3 linked regions of the Drosophila melanogaster genome follow. The protein of the gene in region 1 interacts with the protein of each later gene in a pairwise test. Each region holds a gene or a part of one and is shown in the gene's direction. Other genes may lie near its edges. The genes, in order: CG15209, Lcp2 and RAF2.

Evidence for each region.
Region 2: the proteins of CG15209 (region 1) and Lcp2 interact in a two-hybrid assay, tested with the Drosophila melanogaster proteins (one large-scale study listed by BioGRID).
Region 3: the proteins of CG15209 (region 1) and RAF2 interact in a two-hybrid assay, tested with the Drosophila melanogaster proteins (one large-scale study listed by BioGRID).

Annotation. Positions count from the first base shown.
Region 1 is NC_004354.4:10,840,358-10,843,546, forward strand, and holds CG15209 (uncharacterized protein), read left to right. Parts: upstream 1-1,847; 5' UTR 1,848-1,888; coding exon 1,889-2,332; 3' UTR 2,333-2,638; downstream 2,639-3,189. Other genes in the region: CG32669 (uncharacterized protein), read right to left, coding at 2,748-3,189.
Region 2 is NT_033778.4:8,433,283-8,436,931, reverse strand, and holds Lcp2 (larval cuticle protein 2), read left to right. Parts: upstream 1-2,146; 5' UTR 2,147-2,398; coding exon 2,399-2,410; intron 2,411-2,472; coding exon 2,473-2,841; 3' UTR 2,842-3,135; downstream 3,136-3,649. Other genes in the region: Lcp3 (larval cuticle protein 3), read right to left, coding at 1,049-1,375, 1,432-1,443. UniProt on the Drosophila melanogaster protein: Component of the larval cuticle.
Region 3 is NT_037436.4:16,384,553-16,388,312, forward strand, and holds the start of RAF2 (RING-associated factor 2), read left to right. Parts: upstream 1-1,774; 5' UTR 1,775-2,018; intron 2,019-2,073; 5' UTR 2,074-2,084; coding exon 2,085-2,404; intron 2,405-2,468; coding exon 2,469-3,760. Other genes in the region: Agpat3 (1-Acylglycerol-3-phosphate O-acyltransferase 3), read right to left, coding at 876-902.

The DNA of each region.
Region 1 (3,189 bases):
TGGAATCGGCGGAATCTGCCAGTTCAACTGGCTAGCGATAAGAAGGGAAACGATCCAACGCATTATTGGTCGATGACATCAGGAGATGCACACAAAAGAGAGTCAAGTGGATTGGTTGCTGCTATTGGGTGCCCTTGATAGGGTACCTCCCATAGCTGGCTATGGAGCTATCCTATACAGTGAGTCAGTCAGTTGTGTTTGGCCCACAACACGGTTATCAACGCTGCTGACAGTTCTGGGTTTTTTTTTTTTCTTCTTTTCATTCTCAACCAAAAATGACTAACTAACCAAAGCGGGCTGGCGCACGTGTTTGCAGTCTAATAAAAGCTAACAACGATCAGTCAGTGGAATGTTTTGGCCATTCCATTCGCACGTACATTTATTTTATAAACACTTTATATACATATGTATGTATATATAGCATAGCACATACATATGTATGTAGGTTGCTCGCATGCCAGATGTGAAACCATTAGGAAAATGCAAATAAGACTGACAATTGCGATTTTCCATTTAGAATTTACATTTATCAATACTTACTTCGTCGCACGTTACATGCAACTTGACAATCTCGACTTTTTTTCAATTTCCATTGTCACTCAAGAACGTCGTTACGTGTATTTGTCAAATCGTTATAATTCAACACATAATAGCGCAATATATTTAACAATAATTTCTTTGTTGACACTAATTCGGCATGCACTACAAGTTAGACTATGCTATTGCAATTTGTTTATAAAAAAAAGCTTTTAGCAACGCCTGAAGGCAGGCAAAGTAATTGTAGCAGTGAGTAATTAAATAAGCCCAATTACCGATAAGAATTTAAAACTCTAGACGAGGTATCTCTAGTTGCTTTTCAACTGTATTCCATTAGAATTGTTGCAAATAGAGCAATAATTGTTTGTGTGAAATATGAACATGTAAATGTAGAATAATATCATTCACATTTTGACCAATCAAACAAAGTTCTTAGACCTAAGATTGCCTGACCGATTGGTTCGGTACACAAGGAAACATTGCGACTGATTAACGCGGGGCGCGTCGTCCATTAACCCATATCTACTAGAAATTATTAAAAACTCTCGACCATTACAACTCGTTCAATTGGCTATGAATAAGAGCTGATAAGATTAGGCCAAACCAACATGCAGAAAATAGAAGACGGCGAACCGAGTGAGCACAAACTGCGCAGATAAATTGAATTGGAGGCGGACAGAAAAAATAAAAAAAAAACGTAGCCAACAAAAATACACAATAAAAAACGACGAAATGCGGGATCTACTACATACAAAATACAAAATACAAAAGGCACCAGCCAGACAATTAAATAACATATGTACCAGGGGTCGATGTTGTATAGTGTATAGTATAGTGTATGTGCTGCATATGCAGATAAAATAATTTAACCGACCCTACACACTGACTTTTCAATCAAAAGCAGCCCCCCAAACGACAGTGCTGCGCTTCGTTTCCAGCGTATTGAATTAAATGGAACATTTTTTGCATAACATACAATAAAATATACATTTTAAAAACACTCACTGCTCATCTATTACAAATTTATATAGTTTTAGAAGTAAAAGAATCTATATCCCCGCCTTACTTGCAGTTTAATGGCACCATTGTTTGCCAAAATCCATGGCATTCGAAAGTAACCAAAAAAAATAATAGCCAAATGCTGGAAGAAGAAAGCGAATGTCTTCGCCAGCCAGCACTGCCACACGGGGCGTTCGAGTGAGCGATAGGGAGCCGAGCGAGCGTACGAGCGGGTTGGAAGGCAGATAGAAATTGGAGCGCACCCCGAGAGTCGAGTCCAGGCCACGATCGATCGACATGCGACAGGCGGGCAGCAGTGCCACAGCAAAGCTACTAGCAGTCGGACGTAAACATGAAACCCATTGGGTGCAACAATATTCCGGTCATCTTCCTGGTGATCCTCGGCATGGTCAGCCTGGCCAATTCGCTGCCCATGAATCCCGAACAGGAGCTAAAAGATGTCGACGAGCCATTGGGTCAGCAACGTCAGCATAAACAGCAGCATGTGCAGCAGATGCAGCGCATGGTGAAGAGCGAAGCGGTGCCAGAGTCGGAGTTCGTCGGAAAAATTGCGCCACGCAATGAGCAGAATCCGGAGGATGAATACGATGCCGTCACATTGGTGGAGGAGCTAGAGGCCGCCGGAGTTAAGCTGGCCGATCGACGTGATCTGCGCAAGCTAACCTACACGGAGCTGGCCCGCCTGCTAGCCCTATGGCATCTGTCCCAGAATCGCAATGTTTACAATGCCAAAGGACCGGAGGAGCAGCCCAATCAGGCCATCGATGAGCGTTAATTTAGTTGCTTAATGAGTAAGCTCGTTTATTTAAAGCCAAAGTTCACTTAATATATATATACATATATATATATATATATATTTTGTGTGACAAGAGAAAAAGGCTAGTAGTACGCTCCACGGAGAACGAAGTGGGATGACCCATGCAGATATACATACTATGGCAACTATATGATATTCTCCGACCTGACTTTCTTTAGAACATTATAAGGAGCATTGTAATTCCAGCAGCAATTCTTTCAAATAATAGTTTGCCTCATTTTTAGACTCGTATAGAAATGCAAATAAACTAAACCGTATTATTGTACAGCAAAGTTATTATTTCTTGCAGTGATAGCTAATGGAGAGTAACTAAGGTCAAAACGGCGCTACAAAAAAAAAACAAAAGAAAAAACTACTAAGGTGATGTGTTCAGTTACGCCACTGCCTTGTGTTTCTCCCACTCGATCTCGTCCAGCCGCGGCGGCGCCGTAGCGCTCTCTGTCGTGATGCCGCCAATCTCCGAACTGGTGCCGGTGACCACCAGGAGCGGCATTTGTCGCCGTTGCAAACGTTTGGCTATCGGCGGCACGAAGAGATCGTGCTTGATTAGCGTGCAGTCCGCATCCTGGTAGATGCGTCGATTGTTGTCCCATTTCAGCAGGGCAAACAGCCAGGACAACAGCCATCCGCCAAAGAAGGTTATCAGGAAGCCCAAAGCAGCGTACCACATGTAGCTAATCCTGTACAGGTAAAAGTAATGCTCTTCCTCGGCCACCGCTATCACAGTCTTGAGGAAAATGTCGCGGGCAAAGCTCCTGTCCACCGGACATCCAGCCGTGGACATATCCAAGCTGACCAGCGGTGGCTTCGGTTGT
Region 2 (3,649 bases), on another chromosome or scaffold:
TTAAATTATTGTAAATAATTTCGTTTAATAAAAAAAAACATTGTGTGTATATTTTATCTCTAGTTTCCGTTAAGTCAATATGAACATTCCCGTGGAGTTTGACATATACAATGTATACGATTCTTACTTATACAATCACTATTAAACACTTAAGTTACAATATCATAATATAATCAAAAATCCGAAAGCACAGCAATTTGATTGATATTTCTCCAAAAATCACTACAAGATCTTATAACCGTGTAACCTCAGGGAAGTCTGTGTTATTTTTTGTTACGTGTATGACTATTTAAAAAAGGTTAAAAAAAAGATGAAGAATTTGATTTTTACATCTAGGCTTATAATGCCAATTTCAGTTATATTCATAAAAAGACCAATATAAAAACAAAAATTCGACTCGGCTAGTGATAATGATGATGAATATACATACTTTTTAGGTTCGAAAACGCTTCATAATACCCTTAATACCCATAATACCGACATGCGTTCTAACAATTCAAGTGTACCCTTATCCTCTACAAATAATAGATATAAAAAAGTTCCTCGTCGTTTTCATCATACTGCGATCTTATCTGGGATGCATCAGGTTGGCAACATTTAATTACTTGTGGCTGCCTATGAACTTAACTTAAAATAATAACTAGTTATAACCCAGTTTTCGGAAATATGAAATTAATGCAAGGAGATATCGGCTTGTCCAGGTAAGATTTTTGTAATGTTTACATTTATTTTAGATGCTTTAAAGATTTTTGTATTTAAATTAATTTCGTACTATACTATAACAACACAATTGTAATTTAATGAAGGCCAAAGTGTCTTTGATTACTTTTAATCTTCTAATTGTACCTTCTTATACCATATAATACCGGGAGCCTTCTCTTAAATCGAACTGTCAGATTTGTAAAACATGCACTTGGTTTATATTGCAAGGTTTAATTTATTTTCGAATTCGATAACATTTTCCTTAAATTTAAAACAACTGGTAAGAAATTATCCAAACTCAACCTAGCTGTCTCCAATCTTTCATGTTCCTAGTCGGCGGGTTCACTTAGTTCTTGCTGGGGTTAGCCTCGATGTAGGCGATAGCCTTCAGGATGGCAGCTGGGATCGGAGGAGGAGTGGGCAGCAGGTCACTCTGGGGCTGGTATCCGTTCTCGTCAGCCTTGTAGCTCACTCGCACATGGACACCCTCGGGGGAGATCCACTCGAAGACTCCGTCGATGTTGCCGTGGATGTCTCCGGTGGCGGAGGAGGCAGATCCGTCGTCGAGGACCAACTTGCTGACAAAGCCATCGGGCTGGACATCGTTGACCAGCTCCTTGACCTCCACATTAGCGTTGGCGGCCACCAGGGCGGCGAGAGAACAGACAAGCAGCTAGGATAATCCAGGATTAGACTGCGAAGTCACTATGCTCCTCAAGGCATACTTACGATCTTGAACATTTTGATTTGGGTGGATTGTCGGACTAGAAATCTTCTAAGACTGATGACAATCTATGCTCAAATCGGTGTTTATATATCATCAAAAGCTGATGCAATGTGCGTATTATAATTAAGTCAATGTGATGCATATAATAAAAACCGTCTGGGATGCAAATTAGTCGACTTGAGATGGCTTAACCACTTTCATTAGGAGATGAGCATTCTTAGTTATTTATTCAACTGAAATATTCGCCCTAGTCTAACCGAAATGCAAAGCAAACCGGACCAGAAACCAGAATAATTATTAAGCAGTACAATATTTAATTTTCTAAAATTCAACTTCAATATGAACTAAACTTAAGCATAGCATAGTTTTCGGTGTTTCATTTGGTGTGTGGCACGTTGACAACTCTGGCCAAAAGCTTTGCGGGTTTTTTTAAATTAAACAGTGACATCCAAAATATTGAGATACAACAAAATGTCATAGGCAACTAGCACGTTAATATGCAGTATCACTTGCGAAATCGTTTATTCCGGTATATTGTTTATTACCACTTCGGAACCTTTTAAAATAGATGGGACTGCTATCAAGTGAAGTGTATTGGGTTTTTTGATTTTGTACAGGCATGATTGATAAAGACTTGGTCAACTCGAAACGTCATCGATGAGCACAGAATCCGAAAACCGTACTCCATCGCCCCTACAAAATTTCTACCGAAGCATGTTTCATTTCGGAATCTGTTCAGCAGCGCAAGACTTGTTTTTTGACATTTGTATCGCAGAGTCAAGTGGAGAATTTATGGGCCCTGCCTTTTGTTGGCATCATGGGCGTTTCGTGATAACTTAGATTTGGCCCAAAAAGTAATAAGCAATTCGTTTGGAAAGCAACCAAATTGGGAATCATATAAAAAGACTCTGTCGACCAAAGTCAGTTATCAGTCAACGTTCGTTCTCGACCAGACAGAAATCAGCCAACATGTTCAAGTTTGTGAGTGGCTCACAGGACATTTATGAACTCGCCATCTAATTGGTATCATTTCCTCTATCCAGGTGATGATTCTCGCCGTTGTGGGAGTGGCTACCGCCCTAGCCCCAGTTTCCCGCTCCGATGATGTACACGCTGATGTCCTTTCCCGATCGGACGACGTTCGTGCCGACGGATTCGACTCCAGCCTGCACACCTCAAACGGAATCGAGCAGGCCGCCAGCGGTGATGCCCATGGCAACATCCACGGCAACTTCGGCTGGATCTCACCCGAGGGCGAGCACGTTGAGGTAAAGTACGTCGCGAATGAAAACGGATACCAGCCCTCGGGAGCCTGGATCCCCACTCCTCCTCCAATCCCAGAGGCCATCGCCCGCGCCGTTGCCTGGCTGGAGTCTCACCCCCCAGCACCCGAGCACCCCCGTCATCACTAGGACTCGTCACCCGGATCCCGGACCACTCCACGGACTGTTCTCCCGAAACAAATCGCCCAAGTTGTTTAGCTGTACTTCTTGACTTTCAAAAAAATACATGCACTTGCTTATAGCAGTAAAAATGTGTGTGTTCTTCATTGCACTTTTTAGGTAGTTCCTGTAATAATACGAGCTTTTATACCTCTACCTTCGCTGGGAATGCTTCCTTCTACCTTTTATATTCGATTCACTAAATCCATTTATCAAAAATGAGTATATGTGTCCATAAAGAAAAGATGTGCTGAATTAAAAATTAATTTTGTCTTTTAAAATTTGAGAAGGATCTGGGCAGTCTAAAAGATCTGAAAAACAAAAAAGCAAATGTTTGCATACAATTTTATTCTCACTAAAAGTCTCAATGCATTTTTTTTTTATTTTAAGTAGTATTTAAAAGCCAATTAGAGAAGCCAATACCAATGGACAAACTTATTGAAATAGAAAAGCAATGGTCAATGCCACACGAGCCGATTACCCTAGTATATACTCGTAGTACTAATCCCGTGGATTGCCATGCGATGCTTTTTAATGGGTGTGGGGTATCTTCATAGTCAACCCAGATTTCAGAGCACCAATCGTATGAAAGATGTAGCGTATTGACTTGGGTTCAGTTTTGGTGGTTATCAGTCAACGTTCGTTCTCGAGCAAACAGAAATTGGAATCTAAAATGTTCATGCTCGTGAGTAACGGCAGGATACGAACGTATTCAATGTCTATGCTCTCGTTCACGTGGTGATCTGTGCAGTTTTTGGATTGAGTGGCTCATCCCCCA
Region 3 (3,760 bases), on another chromosome or scaffold:
GACGGATAGTCATTATGGGGCAGATACTCGCACTTCACAGTGGAAGCTCGCGAAAGTCAATAATCTTTAGAATGAGTGGGTTTATGGGGACCAAAGTGTGCAAACAGTTTAGCAAAAAATTGATGACAGTTAGGTGTCATTTTTTACATTTTGTACATGGAGATGTTTTAAAAAAGTACTAAAGTTTTACGACCGTTTTAATTATGAGTAAAAACGACAACTTTAAAACTTTAAACTAATTAAATCATTTCATTAAGGCGTTTAGCTATTCATATTTCTTATTAAATAATACTTGGCTTCGGATATTTTAGATATTTCAATTTAAGCAAATTTAAATAAGTTTCGAAACGATTTTCGGATTTTAAATAAACTAAAGTAATAGGTATTATATATTGAGATTATTATTTAAATGATCATGATTTACTTAAATTATGATTTAAAACATGTCAGCGGATAAAGTTTATCAAAGAAGTTTTTATTTGTATTTCTACAAAGTTATAAACAATGGTTGTAAAACGACCAATGATAAAGGTCAATCTTTTGTTTTGACACGTAATATAAAACTGGGACTGCATATATTTACATGCACAATGGAACGCACTACGTTTTTGTAATAGAAATGAATGCATTCAGTTGACAAGCACTGCTTTTTTTAAATTTCTTATTTCTTCCTATGATAATGGGATTTAAATCCAATGAAAAAAGGAGTACTTTTCATGCCATTTCTTATGCACACCGCCATTAGCTGAATCAACCGAAAATTCGCCGGGCCGAATTGATTGTATTTTTGATGCACTCAATTGGTGACCCCGACGTTGATTGCTGAACCCATTGTATTGAATTAGTTTACTTTTTCGATCGTCCACTTTACATACAACAAAAGAGTTCTTGTGCACGACCATGCGATTGTGTGCGTGTGAGCATGCATATACGTATGCATGTGCTCAGCTGGCGCACGTGTGCGAGTGTGTGTGTTTGGGAGAGGCGTGGGGTGGCGTGACGTGGTTAACATTTATGGTTATCAGTTCGCGATCTGCAAGGCAATAGCCACCCACAAACGATCAATAAACAAAGTCCTATTTAAAGGTATGTCTATCTGCAGCTGCGCCGTTCTTATCGGTTATTCCCTGTTACGCATATGCACATATATATACAGACACTGTCGGTCGTGCCCTTTGTTTACGAGTGTCACTGGGCGGGAATCGGTTGCTAAACACTGGTCACTACTATATGGTTATCACTCGGCGGCGTCGTGCCCGCCATTTACCTTTTTGGCAATGTTTTTGTGCGAATTGATTTGTTTTCTTTTGTAAGCCAAACGGTATGACCGTTCGAGTGCAATGACGATGACACCGGTGAACAAACGGAAAATCGCCACTTTTGCCTTTAGTATTTTTCAATATTTAATATTTGCCACCAGGGCTGTCAGGTTGCAATGTTGTAAAGGAAATCTGAATAATTTGGCTAACGATCTGCACTACAACTTATAGCTTATTAATGATTGATTTTTGATCTACGCTAACTTTTCCATAAATCAAAAAATGAAACTCTAGTGAGTAACTTATTCTAATATAGTTATTTGGTTTTTAGATATGAAATGACCGAATACCCCGAAACTAGTAATATTTAATAAGATTACTAGATTACTTTAATTTAATAAGATTAAAAATTTGTTTGCTTGGTTTACCTAACTAAGAACTAGTTGGAAGAACATATTTTATTCAGTATTATTTAAAGACTTTCCCAAAAGTGGTTACCCTATTGGTTTGCGTCCATACTAAATGCCTGTCAAAATTATTCGCAGAATTGAACGGCGAATTTTTTTTCGCATTTGGAAATTGGATTTTTGCTGAAAGTAAACGCTTTAAAACTGGTATAAACCCGAATTAGCCTATTTGGGGACTTGGGCCATTGTTTTAAGTGGTTTTCAGCAACTGAAAAGGTGAGCCCGTCGGCGGATTAGAATATTCAACCGGCAGACGATTTTTTGTTGGCCAAAAATTTGCAGACGTGAGCGCGTGAGTTTTTGAGGGGGTTAATGCCAAAAGATGTACATACCTGACCGTCGTCCAGTTGCAGGCCTAATGTCCAACGAGATCTACGACTCCTCCAATTCGCAGCTAAGTAGCGACGAGTATAGCCACGAGGAGGAGGAATACGACGCTCTAATGGACGCGGCGGTGAGCAAGCAACGACCCCAAAAGACAAAATCCAAGGGATCCGAGTCCGAGAAACCCGGAAATGGAGCTCCAGAATCGGCGGCTGCCACTGAGAAAAATGAAAAGCCAGATGACGATGCGGTGCCACCTTCCACGCGCTCAGAAACAATTCGGCGGATCCGGCAATTGCAGTTACAGCGTGGCAGGCTGCCCAATCTTTACTTCAAGCGTCGCAGTATTCGTTGGTAAGGCTTACTTCCCAAAGAACCTACTGAAACTGTAATCCTATCTTATCCGATCACACTTCAGGCTGCGACCCAATAAAATGGACTACAACAGCTATTTTGACGGCCTGAAGGACTTGCTGCCCAAGCGTAAATTGAAGCACCTGGTTCGCTTCCATGACAGGCAGCGCAGAACCTACGACAGCAGGAGCATCAGTCGTAGTCGCAGCCACAGCCGCAGTCTTAGCCGAAGTTGCAGTCGCAGTCGTAGTCGTAGCTATTCTCGCAGCCGCAGCGGCAGTGGTTCGCCGGAACTCATTTGCCTTGACGACACGGAGAACGAGGATTCGCCTGAGAAACCAGAGCAAGAGCCGGCAAGGGTTACGCCCATCAAGGAAAATAAGCCTACGCTTCCGGCTCCACCCCAACTAAACTACGAGCTGCCAGAAAGGAAGAAAGCAAACCCACTTGGAAACAACGAAAACGGTGCCTCTATCCTCGACGAGTTCCTGGTAAAGAAGGATCCCCAGGAACCGGTCTTCGACTACGGTAAACTCTCAGCGTGTCGGGAATTGGAACAGGCTCTAAAGGACCGGTCGCGAGATGCGCCAAATGAGGCAGAGTCGCTTGTGGTTGATGCCACTCTTAAAAGACGCCGTTCGGTAACACCGCCCGCTAGCGAAGAGAAGCGCAACAATGAAGTCGAGGATGATAATATAATTGGGTTTTCAACGGTGCAGCAACAGAAGCCAATGGAGGCAGCTCCACCATTAAATCTAAGAATGCCCACCACTCCATCGACTAATCCTCTTCAGCGTCAGCAGGCTTTTAAGCTGAGCACACCGTATACCCTGGCTCCGCCTACTGCCGCCAAGCAAGCTGACACTTACAGTTTAAATACTCCACCGCCAACGGCCACCCAAATGCAGATATCCTATCCCAACGAAAAGCTGTCAAATAACATGAAAGCTAATGCGACTTTCTCGATTCAACAGACAGCTTTATCCCAAGTCGCTGCATCCTATGCTGCTGCACCACAAGTGGCTGCCCTCGCGCAGAGAGCTCCATCTCAGGTTGCTCCACTACAACAAGCCCCCGTGCAACAGATGCACTTCCCAAGATCAGTTCCACCGCAGCAGCTTCCTCCACCACAGCAGCGAGCTCCTCCACAGCAACTGGCTACAGCTCCATTCGCTCCACCACGGCACCTGGCTCAACATAGACCATCTCCACAGCAGCTAGCTCCATCACAGCAGCTGGCTCCACCACACCAGCTAGCTCCACCACACCAGCTAGCTCCACCACAGCAGCGAGCTCCGCCACAGCAGCTAGCTCCACCACACCAGCTAGCTCCACCACACCAGCTAGCTCCACCAC